Linked DNA regions of Macaca fascicularis. The protein of the gene in region 2 binds, or shares a complex with, the protein of the main gene of each other region. Links are inferred from orthologs where the notes say so. Each region holds a gene or a part of one and is shown on either strand. Other genes may lie near its edges. The genes, in order: AHI1, TMEM67 and TMEM107.

What was found.
Region 1: TMEM67 (region 2) and AHI1 share a complex: the UniProt entries of both Homo sapiens proteins name them as parts of the tectonic-like complex. The link is inferred for Macaca fascicularis from reciprocal best matches to the Homo sapiens genes TMEM67 and AHI1.
Region 3: TMEM67 (region 2) and TMEM107 share a complex: the UniProt entries of both Homo sapiens proteins name them as parts of the tectonic-like complex. The link is inferred for Macaca fascicularis from reciprocal best matches to the Homo sapiens genes TMEM67 and TMEM107.

Annotation. Positions count from the first base shown.
Region 1 is NC_088378.1:39,536,033-39,543,282, forward strand, and holds the start of AHI1 (jouberin), read right to left. Parts: upstream 3,974-7,250; 5' UTR 3,791-3,973; intron 3,458-3,790; 5' UTR 3,396-3,457; intron 1,920-3,395; 5' UTR 1,529-1,919; intron 1-1,528. UniProt on the Homo sapiens protein: Involved in vesicle trafficking and required for ciliogenesis, formation of primary non-motile cilium, and recruitment of RAB8A to the basal body of primary cilium.
Region 2 is NC_088382.1:103,402,537-103,410,020, reverse strand, and holds the start of TMEM67 (meckelin), read right to left. Parts: upstream 4,510-7,484; 5' UTR 4,494-4,509; coding exon 4,301-4,493; intron 3,664-4,300; coding exon 3,575-3,663; intron 1,018-3,574; coding exon 924-1,017; intron 1-923. UniProt on the Homo sapiens protein: Required for ciliary structure and function. Part of the tectonic-like complex which is required for tissue-specific ciliogenesis and may regulate ciliary membrane composition.
Region 3 is NC_088390.1:8,260,291-8,267,416, forward strand, and holds TMEM107 (transmembrane protein 107), read right to left. Parts: upstream 3,927-7,126; 5' UTR 3,802-3,926; coding exon 3,715-3,801; intron 3,539-3,714; coding exon 3,471-3,538; intron 3,388-3,470; coding exon 3,269-3,387; intron 2,429-3,268; exon of another isoform or gene 2,330-2,428; intron 2,163-2,329; coding exon 2,066-2,162; intron 1,821-2,065; coding exon 1,751-1,820; 3' UTR 1,549-1,750; downstream 1-1,548. UniProt on the Homo sapiens protein: Plays a role in cilia formation and embryonic patterning. Requires for normal Sonic hedgehog (Shh) signaling in the neural tube and acts in combination with GLI2 and GLI3 to pattern ventral and intermediate neuronal cell types.

The DNA.
Region 1 (7,250 bases), on a different chromosome or scaffold from region 2:
GCATGGTGATTCATGCCTGTAATCCCAATACTTTGGGAGGATGAGGCAGGCAGATCACTTGAGATCAGGAGTTTGAGTCCTGTCTGGCCAACATGGTAAAACCCCATCTCTACTAAAAATACAAAAACTAGTTAGGTGTGGAGCTACTGGGGAGGCTGAGGCAGGAGAACCGCTTGAACCTGGGATGTGGAGGTTGCAGTGAGCCGAGACTGCACCAGTGTGCTCCAGCCTGGGTGATGGGAGTCAGATAATATTTTGGAAAGATTAAATAACTAATGAAGAGGCAGGAGAAAGAATCGGAGGTGATTCCCATGTTTCTAGAACTAGAATAGTAGGTTAGTAGTACCATTAAACTGTAATATAATGCAGTACAGGAGAGTAGTTTAAAATCCATGTCCTAGAATTAGTTTCCATAGTCACTTGTGTGACTTTTGCTTCCTCATCTGTAAAAACACTCTACCAGTGCCGACTCAAAGGGTTGTTGTAAGGGTTAAATGATTTACAACAGTATCTCAGACAGAAGCAGCAACAATAAATGTTAGCTATAATTATAACAGGTACTTGCTAGGGTGCAGTCACTAAGCTTAGTGTGGGTCATGTTGAGTTGGGTATCTGAAGGGCACTGAGCAGCTACAAGCATCAGCTTCCATTGTCAGATCCTTGGATCCAAATACCAGTTCTACCTGCCAGCAGATTCATCTCTAGGGACATCAGTTTCCTAATCTTTCACAATAATAAATCACTCAGTGTTTTTACAAAGATTAAATGAGAACATGCAAGTAAAATACTTGGCACAATGCCTAGCACATGGCAAACCCTTCAAAAAGAACAATTGTTATTACTGTCACATGTGTGTGTCTGTGTTTATGTATATAATCATATTATGTTTATTAGGCAATCTATTAATCCAGCAGGGAGACCCTAGGCTGAAGATTTGGGAGTTATTTATAAATATGATAGTTGCAAGAAAATAAAAAGCCAATGAGAATCCTGAGAGCCCACAATATAAAGTAAAATCAGGGAGACAGGTAAAAAACTGGGAGACAGAAGCATTACAGAAGGAAAGAGTTTTAAAGGAGATGTAGCCTATATACTGTGTGGCATCAAAAGGGGCTGGAGGTTTTGAAGAAAGTCCACTGAATCTGCAAGAAGGAAGTCACGTGTGTCAAAGCTGTTTATGGAGGGGCAGAAACCTAGCAGGCTGGGGCTGAGGGGTGAATGGAAGGTGACCCCTGTAGAAGGGACATGTAGACAATTCTTTACAGAATTCTTCCAACTGTCTTTCCACCACCCCTAAAGGCAGTGACATGAGACAGTAACTCTGGGACAAAAACACTGTGGAAGGATTATGCTGTTTGTTTTAAGATTGTTTCCATGCCACTATCACCTTACCCTTTTAAAAAATAAATCATCATCTATACAGCAATCAGTGTAATTTTCTAAAATTCAAATGTGACGGTGTCATTTCTTTGCTTAAAATTCTTCCCTAGCTCCCAATCACACACTGAAAAAAATATCAAGTCCTTACCATTGAGGTCCAAGGCCATTTATGAAATGTCCCCTTCACACCATACGCTGTGTTCCAGCCATGTGAAACTACCTCCAGGCCTTCACATGTGCCACGTCCTCTCTTGCTTTTGTATCATTACACATATATCCCCTCTCCTGAAAAATGTCCTTCCTCCTTTGTCACTCTAACAAACTCCTCATTATCCTTTGAAGGCAAGTATCTTCTCTAGAGAGCATTCGCACCTTGAAGGGCAGTGAAGCACTTCTCTTCTGTGCTCCCAGGATGCCTGAATCTTTGTAACTCCCTCTACCTCAGCCCTGAATTTTCATCCTGGTTAAATGTTCTGTCTCCCACCAAACTGCTAGCTTTGGAGGCCACGCCAATGCTCTCTATAGTTATGTATCTGGCACTATGAAAGAAAAGAGGAGAGAGAAGAGAAAACACGAGAAGCAAAGCAAAGCGAAGCAGTAGCAACGGTCCTAGAGTAAAAAAGACTCAGGTTTGACCTCCAGTGTCACCACTTACTGATGTGTGGCATTGGGTAAGCTACTTAATTTCTAATCCTTGGTTTTTCCTTGTCTGGGAATTTAAAATGGCACCTGTTTTAGTACTGCAAGGAGAAAATACCAAAAAGCAAAGTAATGAGTACACTGCAATAAAATTACTTTATGTCCAGTATTATTGTATTAAAAATAAGTAATTATTAATAAAATACAGAAATCATAGAATTATTTACTGTTAATAGCTTAATACACAACTGAATAAATACTAATATTATTTAATAACACAGCAAATACATTATAGAAATAATCTCTAATTTTTTTTTTTTTTGGAGACAAAGTCTTGCTCTGTTGCCCAGGTTGGAGTGCAGTGGCACAATCTCAGCTCACTGCTGCCTCCGCCTCCTGGGTTCAAGCAATTCCCCTGCCTCAACCTCCCTAGCAGCTGGGACTACAGGTGTGCGCCACCACGCCCGGCTAATTGTTGTATTTTTAGTAGAGATGGGTTTTCACCAACATTAGCCAGGCGGATACTGAACTCCTGACCTCAAGTGATCCACCCACTCTTGATCCTCCCAAAGTGCTAGGATTACAGGCCTGATCCACTGTGCCCAGCCATCTCTAAATCTTAATGTGTACTACAGCAAACATATGATAGAATTAATGACTAATATTTAATTAGTAACATTATCTGCGAAAATTCAGGTCGGACTTTAAAAGACACCTCCGAATCTTATATATTCCATTATTTTACAACTTCTCCCTCACAAACCCTTTCACAGGAGCTTCTAAGAGATACTATGTAGGAAAATTAAATGGATTACACCTCATCTCATTTTATTTTACAGACCACCTGATTATCAGCCAATATGTGACTCAATATCAATGGGAGAAAAAATTGAGAGGCTTGATAATTCCCTCTTTAACCAAATGTTATCGCAAGGGAAAAAAAGACAAACAAAAATCCTGTACACAAAATTCAATGAATAGATCAACAAGATTCTTCATAAGTACACAAGATTCTAACTTCATAAATATTATTCTTCATAAACAAGATTCTAAGTATGGTTTAATAACACTTTTGGTATTTTAATTTTTTCAAGCATTCTTTAAAAAATTTCCCAGAGTACTCATAAGAAGCAATCTTCCTCCTAACCCAAGCAATAACAGTAACTGCTAATGCAACAGGTGAAAAAACTGTTGGCATCTCTTTCTCAAAAGGGAAAAACTTTATTTTCACATTAGATGTTTTCACAGGAATGCCAAACGCAGCACAACCTTTGATAAGGATGCTTAAATGGTCTACATTTTTATTCTATTTTTATGCATCTCGAAACAACCCTATTAATATAATCTGGCTCTTATAAGTTTAACAAATTGATCACCTTTTCTCAGACGTAATTAAGTAGGCTTTGACAGGTTGAAGATTCAGCCCCAGGATGACACTCTAAAAGGAAATAAACACACTCAGTACGCATCTGATTTAAAAGCATTTAAACAAGAATCGGGAGTAGGAAAGGCAAAGATTGAATTCCCTATCAGAACACCATGCTCAACTCTCCGGAGACACCGAGACCAGTGAAAGAAGCGGAAAAGTACGTTGAGGACTCCGGGAAATCGCATTCCTCCGGGACACCCGGCCCACGCTCCCCGGTCAATCCGCGATCAGCCCCCGCGCTCTCGGACTCCAGCAGCCCCGACACGCCGCCCCGGAGAGGGCCGGGCAGGCCCAGCACCCCGGCCCGCGCTCCCGCCACCAGCGAACCCACGAGGTACTTACGGAGAGGAGGAGTAGGCAGAACCGTCCGTCCCGCCCAAGCCGACACCCGGAACAGTGCAAATCGACTCCCCCGCGCCCAGCGGCGCGGGCGCTAAGTGAGGCGGCCACGAAGCCACCTTACCCGCCAGCGACCCGGGTTCGGAGAGCAAGCCACTGCTCTGTGCCGCAGTGCGGACGACTCGCGGCCTGCTGACGTCAGCGCCTGCCTACACCGCCGTTCCCATGGCGACCGACGCGTCTCGCGCGCTAGGCCCGGACCGCGGCCCCGCCCCCGCCCCCGTCCCCGCGCCGCCACCGCCTTCGCCTCAGCCCGGGAGAAGGGGCCGCGCGGCGCCTGCACCGGGGCCCTCAGGCTGTTGGTGGGCGCGCGCTTCGGGGACCTTACCGGCCTCCAGCCTCCGAGGCCGTGCGAGCGGGAAGGGAGTCGGAAATGCGCGGGTGCTCCCACAGAGCTTGAGTCTTCCCCGCCCTCACCTCCAAAAATACTCTTTCCGCCTTAGAATTGTAGCAAGCGCAGGGAAAAACTGACGGGGCAAAGGAAAACTGGGGAGGCTGTTATGGAAGTCGCCCAAAATAAGAAAATCAATGAATGAGGCAAAGAAACAGATTTGTCACTCCCCACGCGGTCGCGCCCACAAAAGAAAACATGATTTTAAAGCGTGGAAAATGAAGTTGTACTACAGACAAAATCTTAAGAAAAAATTATGCACGATTCCTTTAGAGCTATCTCCCTGTGTGTGGAAAACAAAAGTTAAAACGCCATACTTTTCTGTACCTAATGCTCCCTCCCACTTTTCTGATTTCTGCCGCAGGCGCCATCTTCAGCTCTGAGTCACCAGGGCTGGAAAAATACTAGTTGCGCTACTCGTGGACTCATGAATACACGCCATTTCCTGTACCTACAGCCACGCGCTGTAACCTGTTGCTTCGTTTGTACAGAGAGAGAGTTTACGGAGGCCAGCTTTTCCATTCTCACTGGCATTGCCACACCTTACAAACTATATCTCTATGCCATGTGCTTCCCTAAATCCTTTGAGGAAGCAACGAGAAAGATTACTAATCCGCTGTGTACCAAACTGAGCTGTTCAACTTTGCATTCTAAACCTACTCTCCTAGATTTCTATCTTGCTGTAAGCCACCACTATCTTGCTGTAATCTTGCACTATCAAGTGTCAAACACTTGCTCCCAGTGTTTTAGTAAGAACTGTAGAGTATCCTAAATGCATCTTATACCAAAGCATATTCATTCTCTCTTTTTAAATTCCTCAGGTGGGCGCTTTACCAGTCCTGTGACTCCAGTTTTGACTCTTAAAATTCCCCACACTGCTATCAGAATGTCCTGACTAAAAATGTAAATCGGATAATGGCTCTCTCTTGCTGAAAATTCTTGAAAGGCAACGTGTAAGAGAAAATGATTGCTTTGCCTAGGATACAAGATGCTCCATCTCCCTGACTAATTTCATCTCTCGTTAGCTTATTGTTCCAATTTTATGCAATATTGAATCATGTGTATCATGCAGTTTTGTGCAACATTGAATTATGTGTACTATGAAAAACAATCCATAGCCTTGCACGCCCTGTCCTTACACATATTGTTCTCTCTTCCTGAAAATTCCTCCTTTTACACTACTGCATATCACAGTCAAATGTTGTCCATCCTTCGAATCTTAAGCAGGTTGACTGACTCCTTCAAATACTCCTACTCCTTATTAGATTTTGGATATTCATTCCGTATATTAGACTTTACATACTCATTCTATATTTTCATAGTTTACATTGTATTTTTTCTATCCCCAGTATCTACCACAGTATCTATGAAATAGTTGGCATTTCATGAACATTTGTTGAATGAATAATGGATAACATATATTGAGCTCCTTCTAGGAGCTATGCATTGTAGGTGTTTTATGTAGTTTTCATTTGTCCTCACAACTGCATTTAAGTACCCGCTTTTCCAAAGGGAAGTTATGACTCTGGCTGCTCATTCTTAGTAGGGTTTTAGTTTCAGAATACGATTCCCAGACTTGCGGATGTGTAACCCTGTTATCATCTCTTGCTTCTTAGCATGCAGAGGTGCAGTGGGGTGGGGAGGTCAGGGAATATTTTGTAGCAGAAGTGACATTTAAGCAAAAACCAAAATAATGTGTAGAGTTGTCCAGGTTAGGAAGGGTTTCCAGGTAGAAGAAGGTGGCGTATAGTGTTCACTAAAAGAAAGTTTGGTATAATACAGAACTAAAAAAAAAAAAAAAAAGTTCAAGTTGGCTAACTAAAAGGTAGAGAATGAGTCTAGGGTCTTTTGGAGGAAACAAAACAAGATAGTTAAACAGGCCGTGAAGAGACCCAGACAGTATTGGTCAATGCAATACCACTGTAGAATTTTATGGAGTGAAATTCTCAAATTTTAATATCATAAAGATAACACTGACTGCAGGGTGGAGAACAGACAGGAAGGAAGCAAATCTAGATCCGGGAATACCATTTAAGATGGCGTTGCTGTAAGCCATGTAAGAGACAAAGGTGGTATGGTCAAGGCTAAGAAAAATCAGAATGGAGAGAAATGGATCAGTTCGAGAAATTTTTAGGAGGTAAAAATGTCAGGACTTAGTGATTAATTGGATGGAAGAATGAATGATAAGAAATAATAAAAAACGATGACCAGCTGTTTCGCCTTCCCCTTGGCAAGTAAAGAGGTGGCAAGCATGAAAGGAGAGTGAGGAAATAAATATGTTGGGTCTAATGGGAGCCAGGTTTCTCACTGACAGAGAAGGAAGTTACAAATTGAGAGAGGAGGAATTCCACAATGACCTTTGTGGTGATGTTGGATTGGAATTGAATATGTCGGTGTAAACCTATAGTTTTCAATATATACATAAACATATGTAGAAATAAATATAGAGGAAAGTTTGTATAGGTGTGTGCATATCTATCTATTATGCTCTTCCTAGCTCTATCTGCTGAAAAGGTTTCAGAATAATGGTATGCTAGAAGCAATGAGCACATGTGCCTAAATCTTGGTTTCTGAACACTATTATTCACTAAAAGTAACTGGGTCCCTTGGAGAAATGGTTGATTTTAGAATAGGAGCCTGAAAAATCTTGTTGCACCGGAAATTAAGGAAGTGAACACAGAAGAAAGAAACATATCAAAAGGGCACAAAGCCAGCGTGAAGGAGCCCCCATTGGCCACATCTGGGTCAATCTGAGCACCAATATAATGTTAATGGATTATAGTCCGCTGAATAAAATAGGAAGATTTGAGCCCATACTAAAATGAATAAACGATTTTTTTGAAAAATCAGGATAAAGAAAAGCTCTTCCTTACATAAAAATGCCAACTATATGTAATGAATGTAGACAGTGTTATAAGTAGAAACATCGTTATTTGGCAGTCATGATAGTAACAGTGGATTCAGACAAGAATCATCAGTGTATGCTAAAACTAGAAGGTGAGAGTATTAAGA
Region 2 (7,484 bases):
ACAATGATATTTTACTTTTTTTGCTTGTTTGTTTGAGACAGGGTCTTACCCTGTCGCTCAGGCTGGAGTGCAGTGGCACCATCTCAGCTCACTGCTGCCTTAACCTTCCAGGCTCAAGCGATCTTCCCACCTTTGCCTCTCGAGTAGCTGGGACTACAGATGCATGCCACCATACCTGAATAATTTCTTTTTTATTTGTAGAGATGGGGTTTCACTGTGTTGCCCAGACTGGTCTCGAACTCTTAAGCTCAAACAATACACCTGCCTTGGCCTTCCAAAATGTTGGGATTAACGGCCTACCTTTTCTTTTCCAGTGATAAATATTTTTTTTCTCTTACTTAAGTGCACAGTTTGCACCCTTTTCCAGGTCCTGACATTAATAGGAATGCTTACACTTTTTGCCTATTAAGCATCAACTTGGTTTTTGAGTTGAGACATACATATTTTATCATGTTATGTTAAAGAAGTAACCATCTAATCCTACACAATTAAGAGTTTCAAAAAACTCAGACAAAACTCTGTATTTTCTTCTCAATGCCTGCTGATGTCTTAAGTATCACTAAATTTGTACAAAAATAATTTTTATAAACACTATTAAGGGCTGGACACAGTGACTGATGCCTATAATCCCAGCACTTTAGGAGGTGAGGCAGGAAGATCTCTCGAGGCCAGGAGTTCAAGACCAGGCTAGGCAACATAACAAGACCCAGTCTCTACAAAAAATTTAAAAATTAGCCAGCTGCAGTGGTGTATGTGTGCAGTCCTAGCTACTCAGGAAGCTGAGGTAGGAGGATTGCTTGAACCACTACAAAAATATTAAGTAATCATTTAACTATTTAAATTAATGCCCTTTTCAAAAAACAAAAAACAAAAACACAAATGAAGATTTATCACTACTTCTTTGTAAGGAATCTAATTCTTACCTAAAATATGGCCAGCGGGACAGTGGCATTTTCCTTCGGCAGTTAAGCCACTAGGGCAAGAAATGCAGTTCCAGCCATCTTCTGTAACACCTTTCTAAATTAAAAGAAAAAAAAAAGCTTTTCTCTTTTTTAATTAACTTTCTTCTTCATAATCATGTAAGTTCAAAATGCCATAAGAGTATGTAACTGCAGTGAATATTCAAATAAATCATACATATATGAGCCACATAAAAATTCCCTGGAGAGATAATTCATGCTTATATTCCAAAATTAAGCTCTATATTATTACTATGTCCTGACAACTATTAAAGGATTAACTGTGGATAATAGTTCTCTCTTCTTCAGGATCTTTAATTCAAATGGATGCCTACTTTCATAATTATTTGTCATTTACTTTTTCTGTTTACAAATATAAAACACAACACAACACAAAAAGATTGAATCAATAGTCAGTTAATAGGTTAATCTCACCTATTCTAAAACATTATTCTAATTTTAAAAAATTCAAATACATAAAAAATTTAGTCCACGCACGGTGGCTCACATCTGTAATTTCAGCACTTTGGGAAGTCAAGGTGGTTGGATCACTTGAGGCCAAAAGTTTGAGGCTAGCCTGGCCAACGTGGTGAAACCTCGTCTCTACTAAAAATACAAAAATTAGCTGGGTGTGGTGGTGTATGCCTATAATCCTACTTGGGAGGCTGAGGCACCAGAATGGCTTGAACCAGAAAGGTGGAGGTTGCAGTGAGCTGAGATCACGCCACTGTACTCTAGCCTGGGCAACAGTAATACTCTGTCTCAAAAAAAAAAAAAAAAATTCATTTATGATTCAAAATGGGTAAATTTTATGAAATATAAATTATACACAGTTGTTGAAATTGATTTATGAGAATATTTTCTTCTATCCATTTATGGCTTGTACTAGTACACTTTTTTTTTTTTTTTGAGACAGTCTTCGCTCTGTCACCAGGCTGGAGTGCAGTGGCACGATCTCGGCTCACTGCAAGCTCCACCTCCCGGGTTCAAGGGATTCTCCTGCCTCAGTCTCCCGAGTAGCTGGGACTACAGGCACATGCCACCATGTCCAGCTAATTTTTGTATTTTTAGTAGACATGGGGTTTCACCACGTTTGCCAGGATGGTCTTGATCTCCTGACCTCGTGATTCGCCTGCCTCGGCCTCTCAAAGTGCTGGGATTACAGGCATGAGCCACTGCACTCAGCCTGGTAAAGGTTTTTGATAAAGTATGACAGCATTCAAAATTGGGCTTATTATATTATATGGTTTAGGAAAAGCCTGGGGCAACAAACACAATAATTACAAACACAGTTGTACCCAAAGTTCATAAAGAACAAAAATAATGCCACAAATTATTTTAAATTTTGGTTGAAAAGACTGAATTTATCAAGAAATACTCCTATTTTGCAATACATTTATATAGGACTATTTATTTATTTATTTATTTATTTATTTTTTGAGACAGAGTCTCACTTTGTCACCCAGGCTGGAGTGCAATGGTGCGATCTTGGCTCACTGTAACCTCCGCCTCCTGGGTTCAAGTGATTCTCCTGTCTCAGCCTCCCAAGCAGCTGGGACTACAGGTACACGCCACCATGCCCAGCTTATTTTTGTATTTTTAGTAGAGATAGGGTTTCACCATATTGGCCAGGCTGGTCTCCCGAGCTCATGATCCACCAGCCTCAGCCTCCCAAATTGCGGGGATTACAGGCATGAGCCACCATGCCCGGCCTATATAGGACAATTTAAAGATTACAATAACTTAAAAAATGTCACTGAAAAACAAAATGCTTAGCAGCATTTTATCATGGGTAATTCAGGTAGGATCAACATCTGCAAAGATATAAAATAAATGGTAATCTATTATAAAGATGTAAAATAAATGGTAATATAAAAAATGGTAATCACACCTACAAGTAATACAGATAGCTGTAAATCAGGACAATTGATAACTTCAGATTAAATTCCCAGAATTAATATTTTTTATATGACAACGAGAAGAAACATTACTGTAAATGTCAGACTGTTACACAGACTTTTAATTATCCAACATGATTGAAAAATATATTTGTTAATTGAGAATTATCATATACAGTAACTACTAATTTTTCAAAAATTACGATATAATGAAATTACTAACAAAACAGAAACAGACATTATTTAACCTATTTATTAATGCAATTGGTATTTCATGAAATAATTACACCTCAGATATCATTATGAACATCAATCATCATATAAACTGTTGACATGATAGGTTTAAGACAACTCCATTTGCATCAGTCAAAGAATATACACATCCCAAATTGCACACATCCCAAACTGCTCTATATATTCCTTATTCATCTAATTTTCTTCATAATCGAGTTATTCTATGAGTAAAAACAAAAACTTAAATTTTTACAGCTTTGTGGTTTTTGGGATTTCAGATTTTAAAAGAAATACATTTCTGTTTTCTCCAAGTTTGCATAAAATTTCGCTGATTTCCCAAAACTTACTCTAGTAAAAATAAAGTTAGCATAGTAATTTTAAAGTTTGTGGGGAAACATTAAACATTACATTATAGTTTGAAAAATAAAGATATTTAACTTATTACTTTTACAGTTAAGTTATTTTAAAATAAATTATGCATACCATGTTTTCTGGGCACTTTTTACAAATAACAGCAGGTCCTCCATTATTAGAGATCATCTGAAATCCTGGTAGACATACACATGAAGTTCCTAAAAAAAAAAAAAAAAAAAAGCCAACTTTATCCTTGATAAATAAAAATAAAGTTCCAAGATAGTGAAACTTTTAATAAGTCTGAAGATCTTGAGAAGCAGTATAGTGATTAACAGCAGGATTCTGGAGCCAGTACTGCCGGGTTCAAATCCAGAAACATACTTCTTGAGTTCCAATCTTAGTACTCCTACTCGGTTGCATGACCTTGAACAAGTTACTAAACTCTCTGCCTTGGCTTCCTCTACAATAAAAAGGAGAAAAAAAATCGGTACCTACCTCATAGTATTAGTATGAGTATAAAATCAGTTATTATACATAAAGGTCTTAGACTGTCACACACAGCTGGTATTGTGTTGCTACCATTTTAAGCGCAAGTATAACTAAACTATTAAACTACTTAACTGCTGCTGGAAATTTTACATTTCTACGTCACTAAACAATATATATGTATTCGGGCCAGGCGCGGTGGCTCACGCCTGTAATCCCAGCACTTTGGGAGGCGGAGGCGGGTGGATCACCTGAGGTCAGAAGTTCGAGACTAGCCTGATCAACATGATGAAACTCCATCTCCAGGGACTAGGGATCGACCAAGGCGGGAGTGTTACTTTTGCCAGGGCCCACCTCAAACCGTCTTACCTCGGGCATCCTGCCTCTGGTTAACTCCACACGGAACACAGGAGAGCGCGGAGATATCAAAGTACTGGTTGTTGTCGCACTTCTCTGGCTGCTGGAAAGGGAAAGAGAAGGTCTGGGCCTGTAAGAAGCGAGGGAGGGACAACAGGAGGAACACGGTCACGGCCCGGGCAGATAAGAGGTACCAAGCCGCCATTGCCACCTCAGCCCCCACCGCGCGTCGCCATGGTACCGACGCTGGCAGCCTCACAGGCGTCAGTCCCCCATCAGCCTCTGCGGCAGCTCCGCTGAGCTGATTGGACAACCCAAGTCTGGGTACCGGAAGTCACTGCTGGTGTTGCTTGGTTGCTAGGTTACCAACCCTGCGCGAAGTTGGCAGGTCCAGTAAAGAGTAGGTTAGAGGCCGGCTAACCCTGAAGCCCAGCGGTATTTTCAAAAGTGTATAGAGTTCCTCTACTTACGATAGGGCTGCCTCCTCCCCTCAATAAACCCATCGTAAGTTGAAAATATCATAATTTGTCGAGTTATATTTACATCAGAATTTATTCAGACTAGGTAATTTTCACGTTAAAGGAAACGTGACTTGTAGTTTAACAATTTGATGTCAAAAAAACCCACTGACTTAAAACCTAGTGAAGGATTACTATAGCTTAAGCACTGAAAAATAAAAAATTTTTCCTGCCAGGTCTGAGCATAGGAAATCATGTATGTGAGACAAAGTAGGAAACGGAAGAAACCATGTTTGCTCATTCTGTTGCCAGCGGAATTTCACAAAGCCCCTGATTCAGTGACTGAACACAGTCCTCCAGAAGAATGCCCTGAAGACAGTAAGAGGATAGAGCACAGGTTTCCACAACTGTTGCTTGAATCACTTCATTTTCTAAAAAAACACGTTCAGTGATCCTAGCTCTTGCCTCTTTCTGTACGTAAGATAACGTCTGACAGGATTAAAGATTATGCCTCTGTAACCTATAATCAGATGTACTCTCCAACCAAAACTTTGATGAGATTTTGCTCCAGTGTAACTTCTGAGCATGTTTAGTGTAACTTTTGAGCACATGCAGAGCTCCATCCCTTGATAATAGAAACTGTGGGCAGAACCGCTGCTTTGGAGCAGTATAACATAAACTCTTTGAACGACTCCCCAGTGTTGCATTCCTCAGTAAGACTCCAAATAAAACTAACTTTGAGTCTTTAAAAGCCTTATTTTTTTCTTTAGTTGACATGTATATAAAATGAGATCACCTTTACACCTCTTGTGAATAAAAGAATCTAAGCCTGGTGCTGTGGCTCACGCCTCTAACCCTAACATTTTGGGAGGCCACCGCAGAAGGATTGTCTGAGCCCAGGAATTCAAGACCAGCCTGGGCAACATAGTGGGACTCCATCTCTACGAATAAAATTTATTTTAATTAGCTGGGTGGGTGGCACATGCCTATGGTCCCGGCTACTTGGAAGGCTGAGGCGGGAGAACCATTTCAGCCCAGGAGGTCAATGAGCCCAAAGGCTGCAATAAGCTGTGATCATGCCACTGCACTCCAGCCTGGATGTCAGAGACCCTGTATCAAAAAAAAAAAAAAAAAAAAAAAAAAAAAAAAAAAAAAAAACAAACTTGGACAAATATATGGAAACTTTTAGAGTTAGAGACCACTTGCGAGGCTAAGGTAGAAATCTAGAGTCTAAATTGGAGCCATGGAGGAAAGGAGAGGCAGGAGAGGATGAATAAAGGAGCTATTCAGGAAGAAGAATTATGAGAATTTTATGATTTGGACATAGGAAGTAAAGAAACAGAATCAAGGATAACTTACAGGTTTCTGATTTGGGTGGCTGGGTAGATGGTTGTGATATTAAAGGAAGATACCTGTGGCAGATAGCTTCTAAGCGAAAACTTATTGGATAAATAAAATTTTAAGGTAGAAATGAAAGTTATAGGAATATTTAACATGGTGGGGCGCTGGGGGTGAATAATAATAGAAATAATAGGTATTAATAGCTTGTTTTTGTTATCAAGCAAATGAGCTCTGTATCCAATGTGCGCACAGAAGCTAATACTATGTGGCACAAGCTTTTGAGGAAAAAAAGGCTTTATTTGCACAACTATTCAGCAAGGATATAGGAGTGCATTCAAATCTGTCTCCCTGATTTGGCGTCTGGGGTAAACTCATGGGCTTGGAAAGCCAAGGGAAAGGATTTATGAATGTGTCCTGGCAGGCTGATTGGAGGATTTAAATTTGACCATTTAGAAAAAGGTATGTAGAGGCCGATTTTAGGCCCGATCCTCCAGTCAAATGGACCCATCACTTTTGAAAGAGTTCCAAGTTCAGGTTCCAGTCACGTCCTGGTCTTCTTGGTTCCAAGGAAAGGATTCATTGGTTTTGGGTGTTGTTAGAGGTCCAAGCTTTTTCTATTGTACACGCCTGGGCTACATGACTTGCAGTTTTTGGCTCTGTTATATCTAAAAGGTAACACGATATTTTGTTATCAACAGGGTAGGCCCAGTTTGGGCTAGTCCCATGGAGACACTTTTAATGTGTCCGGTATTGCAATATCTCATTTGATCCTAAATTGGGACTGTTATCATCACCTTTAATTTACATGAAATAACCAAGGCTTTGAAAGTATAAGTGACTCTCTAAGGTCACACTTAATTCATGGTTCTAACCCTGTTAATTTGACACCAGAGCCCATACTTTTCTTCAGTTTGTTGTTGTTGTTGTTTTAAACTTTAATTTAGGTTCAGAAGTACATGTGCAGGTTTGTTATACAGGTAAATTGAGTGTCTCGGGGGCTTGGGGTACAGATTATTTCCTTACCCATGTGATAAGCATAGTACCCAATAGGTAGTTTTTTGATCTGTACTCTCCTTTCACCCTGCATCCTCGAGTAGCACCCAGTATCTATTGTTCCCTTCTTTGTGTCCATCTGTACCCAATGTTTAGCTCCAACTTATAAGTGAGAACACACAGTATTTTATTTTCTTTCCTGTGTTAGTTTGAGATAGGAGGTTGGCAGGACCGATTTCACAGGATAAGGTCATAAAGACCTGGCTGATAAAACAGGATAGGTAAAGAAGAGGACTGAAACCTGCTAAAACCAAGATGGTGACCAAAGCGACCTCTGGTCATCCTCACTGTTCATTATATGCTAATTATAATGTATTAGCATGCTAAAAGACACTCCCACCAGC
Region 3 (7,126 bases), on a different chromosome or scaffold from region 2:
GAGGATCATCTGAGCCTGGGAGTTCGAGGCTGCAGTGAGCTATGATCCCACCACTGCACACTACACTCTAGCCTGGGCAGCAGAGTAAGACTGTCTAAAAAAAAAAAAAAAAAAAAAAGAGGGGGTGGTCAACGTACCATATGCTGAAGAGAGGTCAAACTCAAACTCAAGTCTGAAAAGTGACTCTGGATTTGGGAAGCAGAAGTCATTGGCGATGATCAGTTTCTTGGGGGTGTACTGGTAGATTTTTAACAACCAACTCTCCAAAAACAAATGTATCCATGTATATACATAAGTGTATGATAAATTGTACTGGTATAAAGTATGGATAGCACAAAATTTACAAATAAAAAGGCCAGACGTGGTGGCTCACGCCTGTAATTCCAGCACTTTGGGAGGCTGATCACCTGAGGGCGATCATCAGGGCAGATCACCTGAGGTCAGGAGTTCAAGACCAGGCTGGCCCACATGGTGAAACCCAGTCTCTACTAAAAATACAAAAAATAGCCGGGCATCGTGGCACCTGCCTATAATCCCAGCTACTTGGGAGGCTGAGGCAGGATAATCTCCTGAACCTGGGAGGCAGAGGTTACAGTGAGCCGAGATCAGTGCAGTGCACTCCAGCCCTGGCGACAGACCAAGACCCTGCCTCAAAAACAAAACAAAACAAAACAAAACAAAAAAAAAACCCGTTCCTATTGAATGAGTATCATCCATCCTGTGCACTAGATTACAGATTTTTACTGATGTGCAGTGTTTCCTGAGAAGAGGTGAAGCGTCAAAGTATCAAACGACAAAGAACAACGGGAGTCCATTTGCACAATCCTACCTCCTAAGTCCCAGTAAGCAACAAATACAACTCACAATTTTCAAAACCAGATAAAATTTGGCGAGATCACAAAATAGCGAAATACAGAAACTATTCCCTGCACCGCATGATAACTACATTAACTAAACTTACAATCAACATAACAGAAACGTAAGTGATCGTCAGGAAGAATCAGATAGGAGCAATCAGGGTGTTGCAAGTCCTGATTACGCAGAGACGTTAATCACGTTTCATGCATTCTCCAATCATCATGTTCTCATCTGCCCTCCAAAAGAGGAACAGGTAAGGATTATCCCACCTGACGATATTTCTAAAGAGCCGACATTCCGCACTCAGTCAAAAAGATTCCGTTTACAGCTAGGGTGAGTTCACGACGCGTTGGTATGAGTAACCCTACTACTTAGCATCCTTCCAGTTGTATTGCCATATTTGCTTGCACATTTTTAAAAGAATTTTTTCATTCGGCTGCCGAAAAGGAATACATTTCTTTTTCCCAGAATGCTCCGATCATTTACGTGCTGGACGTTCTAACTGTAAGCACTTTCTATTTACATATCTCCGCCCACTCCCTTCCGCCAGACAACTACCGTAATAACCAAAATAGAAGCGATACCAAGTATCTTACGGTCTGCAGAACTAGAAAATAACGTTGCTTCTTTTTTTTTCTTCAGTAGTTTCGCCATCTCAATTGTGCCTTGAAAACTGTATATGTCTTAATCTTACTACAAAACATATTTTATTACAAACCACTAAATACAATGCGGATAATCCCAGACTCAAGACGTAATTATTCCAACACATATCCTCCAGCAGAAGCAGTTTCCGAGGGGAGGACCGAAGCCTATGCCTTCCTTCTTCCAGGAATACGAAGCGGCCCTTGCCCCTGTAGCCTTCGTCCTTAGGTTCCCGTCATGAAGGTGCTCAGAAAGGTTTCTTTTTCAGCCCAAAGACGGTGACGAATAAAGTCATTTCAGTGACAGCTGGAAGGGCACTACCGAGGCAAGTGGTAAATTCAGAAACCCTTTCAATATAAATACCCAAATCTCCAAACCAGAGACCCCACCCCTGAAAGTGTAGGACAGGTGGCATGGGGTAGGGAATGAAAATTCAAAAGACTACAGGATGTTAAGTGGATCTGGTATCTCACACATAGAGGAAAGGGCTGGGTGGGGGAAAAACCCTCAGGTTTAGGGTCAGCCTTCCTCCCTCATTCCCGAATATTGGATGCTACCACACCTGCAGAAGACAAAAATGTACCAATACGTAGTGCACTCCCAACGCTCGAATATGAAGAAGGACAGGGCCACGGATGCACTACAGTGAGCCCCAATGGCTTGGGAAGGCACCAGAGTTAAGGAAAGTCTTTGGATCGACAGATAGTGAGGGGTCAGAAAAGGCCAAAGGCCAGTGGTGGGGTTGGCATCTGCATTCAGGTTCATCGTTTGCTCCCTCACCATATTGCAAGGGCTAGAGTCAGCATCCCCGACTTCTGAATTTTAGGACAGTCATGTGAGGAGAGACCAGAAGTGACTGCGCAGATGGGATCTCAGGCTACCCTACTCCATATCTAGGGGCCAGCCTGGATCCTTCAGATGAGAGGTAAGAGTAGGCTCTCCTGCTATGCCACACAGGAGTGCTGACAGCGACTTGATATGCGCTGGAATCAGCCTCCAGTGTCCTGGTCCTCCTGGTCCACAATTCTCTGACCCATGTGCCTGGCTTCCGTTGCCTCTTCTGAGTTCCCAATGTGCTTTATATCTTTCGTTTTTTGCCAGAGTCTTGCTCTGTCGCCCAGGCTGGAGTGCAGTGGCACGATCTCAGCTCACTGCAACCTCTGCCTCCTGGGTTCAAGCAATTCTCCTTCCTCAGCCTCCTGAGTAGCTGGGATTACAGGAGTGCACCGCCACGCCCGACTAATTTCTGTATTTTTAGTACAGACAGGGTTTCACTATGTTGGTCAGGCTGGTCTTGAACTCCTGACCTCAGGTGATCCACCTGCCTCGGTCTCCCAAAGTGCTGGCATTACAGGCATGAGCCATCGCACCCTGCCTGTGCTATCTTTACACACTCCCATAGCACACTGCTTATCACACTGAATTACAGATGTGTATCTACCTCCTCCTCATGGTTAAAAAAAAAAAAAGTGGAGTTTTTATTATTACTATTTATTTTGTAGACACGGGGTCTAACTATGTTGCCTCCTGCGCGGGCCTCCCACAGTGCTGGGATTACAGACGTGAGCCAACGTGCCTGGCCAAAAACTGTATTTTACTCTCATTTCGGAATTTTAAGTGCCTAGTAAACAGCAGGATTTAGCACATGGTTGAAGATCTTTGAACTGGAGAGACTGGCTACAGCAGACACTATTGTGTCAGGTGGCTGAAGGGAGTCCTGATAGAAATGGGTCGTGTGGGAAAGGTGGGCAGGCAGAAAGGATACAGATGAGGCTCTGGGTGCTGTTGAACATGGAGACTCCTGAGAGGAAACCGGCCAGCTCCACTGCAAAGAGGCCCAGGGTGACAGAAAGCGCGGCCACCAGCCTGCAGAGAGGAAGTGGACTGGCTCAGGCCTTTGGACTTCTTCTAAGACCCCTCCACTCCCACCACCTCTTCGTTCTGGCCACCCCGTCCTAAGAGCTCACTGAATGTCCTGCTTGTCATACTCCTCGGGGGTGAACCTGAGAGGCAGGCAGGCCTGAATGTTGCTGTCCTGGGAGCAGGGCAGAGAGGAAGAGAAGTGAAAAAGGGGCAGGCTGCTGGGCAGGCCTAGGGACGGCGGAACACGAGAAAACCCAAGTGGGTAAGACACTGGGAGAGGGGCAGGGTGGGGCGGGGACGACTCCGAGATGGGAATGGGGGCGGACGGAGGGCAGCCGTGGGTCTTACCCGGGACCAGAATAAGGTGATGACGACCACCAGATGCGCCAGGATCGTCAGGAAGCGAGAGGGCACAAGCCCTGAGACCCGGCCCATGGCCCTTGGGAACAAGAGCGGCGGTCTCTGAGGCTGGAAGTTCAGAGACTGCGACTCCCGCAAGTCCACCAGCAAGCGGACAAATCTAGACGAACTCCTCCTTTCCGCCAGCTCAGGCACCGCCCAGTTGCCTTGGTAACCGCGTACGCGGGCGTGCTGCCGCGTTCTCGGAAAACCTCGCGAGAGCAGTACATTCTCCATCTGCTGTGGGTCTTTCAGGGCTAACTCAGGTCAGGGGTACCCGAAGGAGCTTCTAACCCAATGGCTGGGTACCCGTGCGCAGCCAGGCCCTTTGTTTCTCAGAGGGTGAGGGGTGGCACAGCCGCGCAGCGCCCGATCTGCCCACGCAGGGCCGACGAACGGAAACCCACCCTGGCCTAGCCTGGGGACACCTCTGCTTCCGCGGTTGCCCACGCCGGGAGCGGCCCCCAGCCCCAGCTACGCTGCCCAGTTGTGGATCACTTGAGATCACTCCCACCGCCACGCCGGGCTGAGGTCCCCGCCATGCCGAAGACTCACACCCGCTCCCCTTCCTCCTCTCCTCATGCCTTTAACTTCCCACCAAGCTGGGCCTGAGAAACAAGGGACCCGAACGTGGAGAGGCCGGTGTTCCTGGACTGCTCGGCAGTTACAGATTGTCACAGAGCCCCTGGTTGTCTGAGGACCCTAGGCCTGAACCTTCCTTGAGGAAGACTGATTTCTCTCAGACTACTTTGCTCAGTTTGGTGAAGGATTTGCAGAGTGCAAAAAGTGGTCCGCGTCCTTAAACTAGCGTGGGAATAAGAGCAAAGCAAGGTGGCTGGAAAGGTGGGAGTGGACGAAGGGAATGGTACAGTCCCTGCGTCTCTGGGAGGCTTGGAGCCTACGGGAAGGGAAACTCAACTTAGATTTCTTTATCTCTTGGAGGTGCTGGACCTCCGACATTGCCCAGCTACAGTCCAGGAAGCTCTTATCACCGGCGACGTCATGACCTTTGGGCCTCAGCGCAGGTCCCTGCAGATCTGAAAGTTCTTCTCTAATTGCTCAGTCAAGTCCCATCCTCAAGGAAACTCCCGGCCCATTTCCCAGGAGAACAATATCTTCCTACTTCCCACTCGACGTCTCAGTGCCTTTAGCCAGACTAAAGTACAAGCCCAAGAGGCATTTCTCATTCCTTCAACAAATATTTTTATATATTTATTTATTACCTAGTAATAGTATTCTAGTCAGGGAGATCAACAACAGACATGCAAACAAATAAATCCGTAAGATAATAGGTGCTACAAACAGGGATACGCGGGCCAGGCACAGTGGCTCACGCCTGTAATCCCAGCGCTTTGGGAGGCCCAGGAGGGCGGATCATCTGAGGTCAGGAGTTCGAGACAAGCCTGACCAACATGCTGAAACCCCATCTCCACTAAAAATACAAAATTAGCCGGATGTGGTGGCGCGTGCCTGTAATCCCAGCTACTCGATTACTACTACTCGATTAGCTACTAAGGCAGTGGAATCGCTTGAACCCGGGAGGTGGAGGTTGCAGTGAGCCGTGCCATTGCACTCCAGCCTCTGCAACAAGAGCACAACTCCGTCTCAAAAAAAAAAAAAAAAAAAAAAAAGGAAACGCTAGAATTATAATTCTATAAAAGTAGGGCATTTATAATTCTATAAAAATAGGGCATTTATTCTTAAACTTTATTTTAGAAACTTTGGCCAGAAATTGACCGGGAGTGGTGGTTCGCGCATATAATCCCCGCACTTTGGGAGACCGAGGCAGGGAGATCACCTGAGGGCAGGAGTTTCAGACCAGCCTGGCCAACATGGTGAAACCCCATCTCTACTGAAAAAAAAAAAAAAGCCGGGTATGGTGGCGCGCGCCTGTAATCCCAGCTATTCAGGAGGCTGAGGGAAGGAGAATTGCTTGAACTCGGGAGGCGGAGGTTGCAGTGAGCCAAGATCGTGCCACTGCACTCCCGCCTGGGAAACAGAGCAAGACTTAGTCTCAAAAAAAAAAAAAAGGAAGAAAAAGAAAATGCACTCTGGGACCAGAAGCGAAAGCTCATGCCTGTAATCCCAGCACTTTAGGAGGCCAAGGCGGAAGTATTCCTTGAACCCAAGAGTTTGAAGCCAGTCTGAGCAACATAGTGAGACACCTCTCTCTAATAAAACAATAATAAAGGCCTGGAGTGGTGGCTCACGCCTGTAATCCCAGCACTTTGGGAGGCAGAGGCGGGCAGGTCACCTGAGGTCAGGAGTTTGAGACCAGCGTGACCAACATGGTGAAACCCCGTCTCTATTAAAAATACAAAAAAAAAAAAATTAGCTGGGCGTGGTGGCATGTGTCTGTATTCCCAGCTACTCGGGAGACTGAGGCAGGAGAATCATCTGAACCCAGGAGGCGGATGTTACAATGAGCTGAGATCTTGCCACTGCACTCCAACCTGGACGACAGAGCGAGACTACATCTCAAAAAATATATATATGTATTTATATATATATTTATACATATTTATATATTTTAATATATTTAGATATATATTTATAGATATATAGACACACACACACACATATACATTCAGATATATATATATTTTTTTTTTTTTTTTTTTTTGAGACGGAGTCTCGCTCTGCCGCCCAGGCTGGAGTGCAGTGGCCCGATCTCAGCTCACTGCAAGCTCCGCCTCCCGGGTTTATGCCATTCTCCTGCCTCAGCCTCCTGTGTAGCTGGGACTACAGGCGCCCGCCACCTCGCCCGGCTAGTTTTTTGTATTTTTTAGTAGAGACAGGGTTTCACCGTGTTAGCCAGGATGGTATCGATCTCCTGACCTCGTGATCCGCCCGTCTCGGCCTCCCAAAGTGCTGGGATTACAGGCTTGAGCCGCCGCGCCCGGCCTCAGATATATCTTTTTAATGAAGTTTTAGGCTGGGCGCAGTGACTCAGGCCTGTAATCCCAGCACTTTGGGAAGCCGAAGCGGGTGGATCACCTGAGGTCAGGAGTTCAAGACCAGCCTAGCCAACATGGAGAAACCCCATCTCTGCTAAAAATACAAAACTTAGCTGGGCGTCATGGCACACACCTGTAGTCCCAGCTATTTGGGAGGCTGAGGCAAGAGAATCTCTTAAACCCACGAGGTGTAGGTTGCAGTGAGCTGAGATCGCACCACTGTACTCCACCCTGGGTGACAGAGTGAGATTCTGTCTTTAAAAAAAAAAAGTTTTAAACAATAAACATTAATATTTTCTGAGTCTTATATAGTATTATTAAGACATGAAATTGAGGAAAAAAAGGAATGATTTATAGGATTGAGAGTCCCTAAAGTGTTGAACTCCTATATATTGAAACTATGT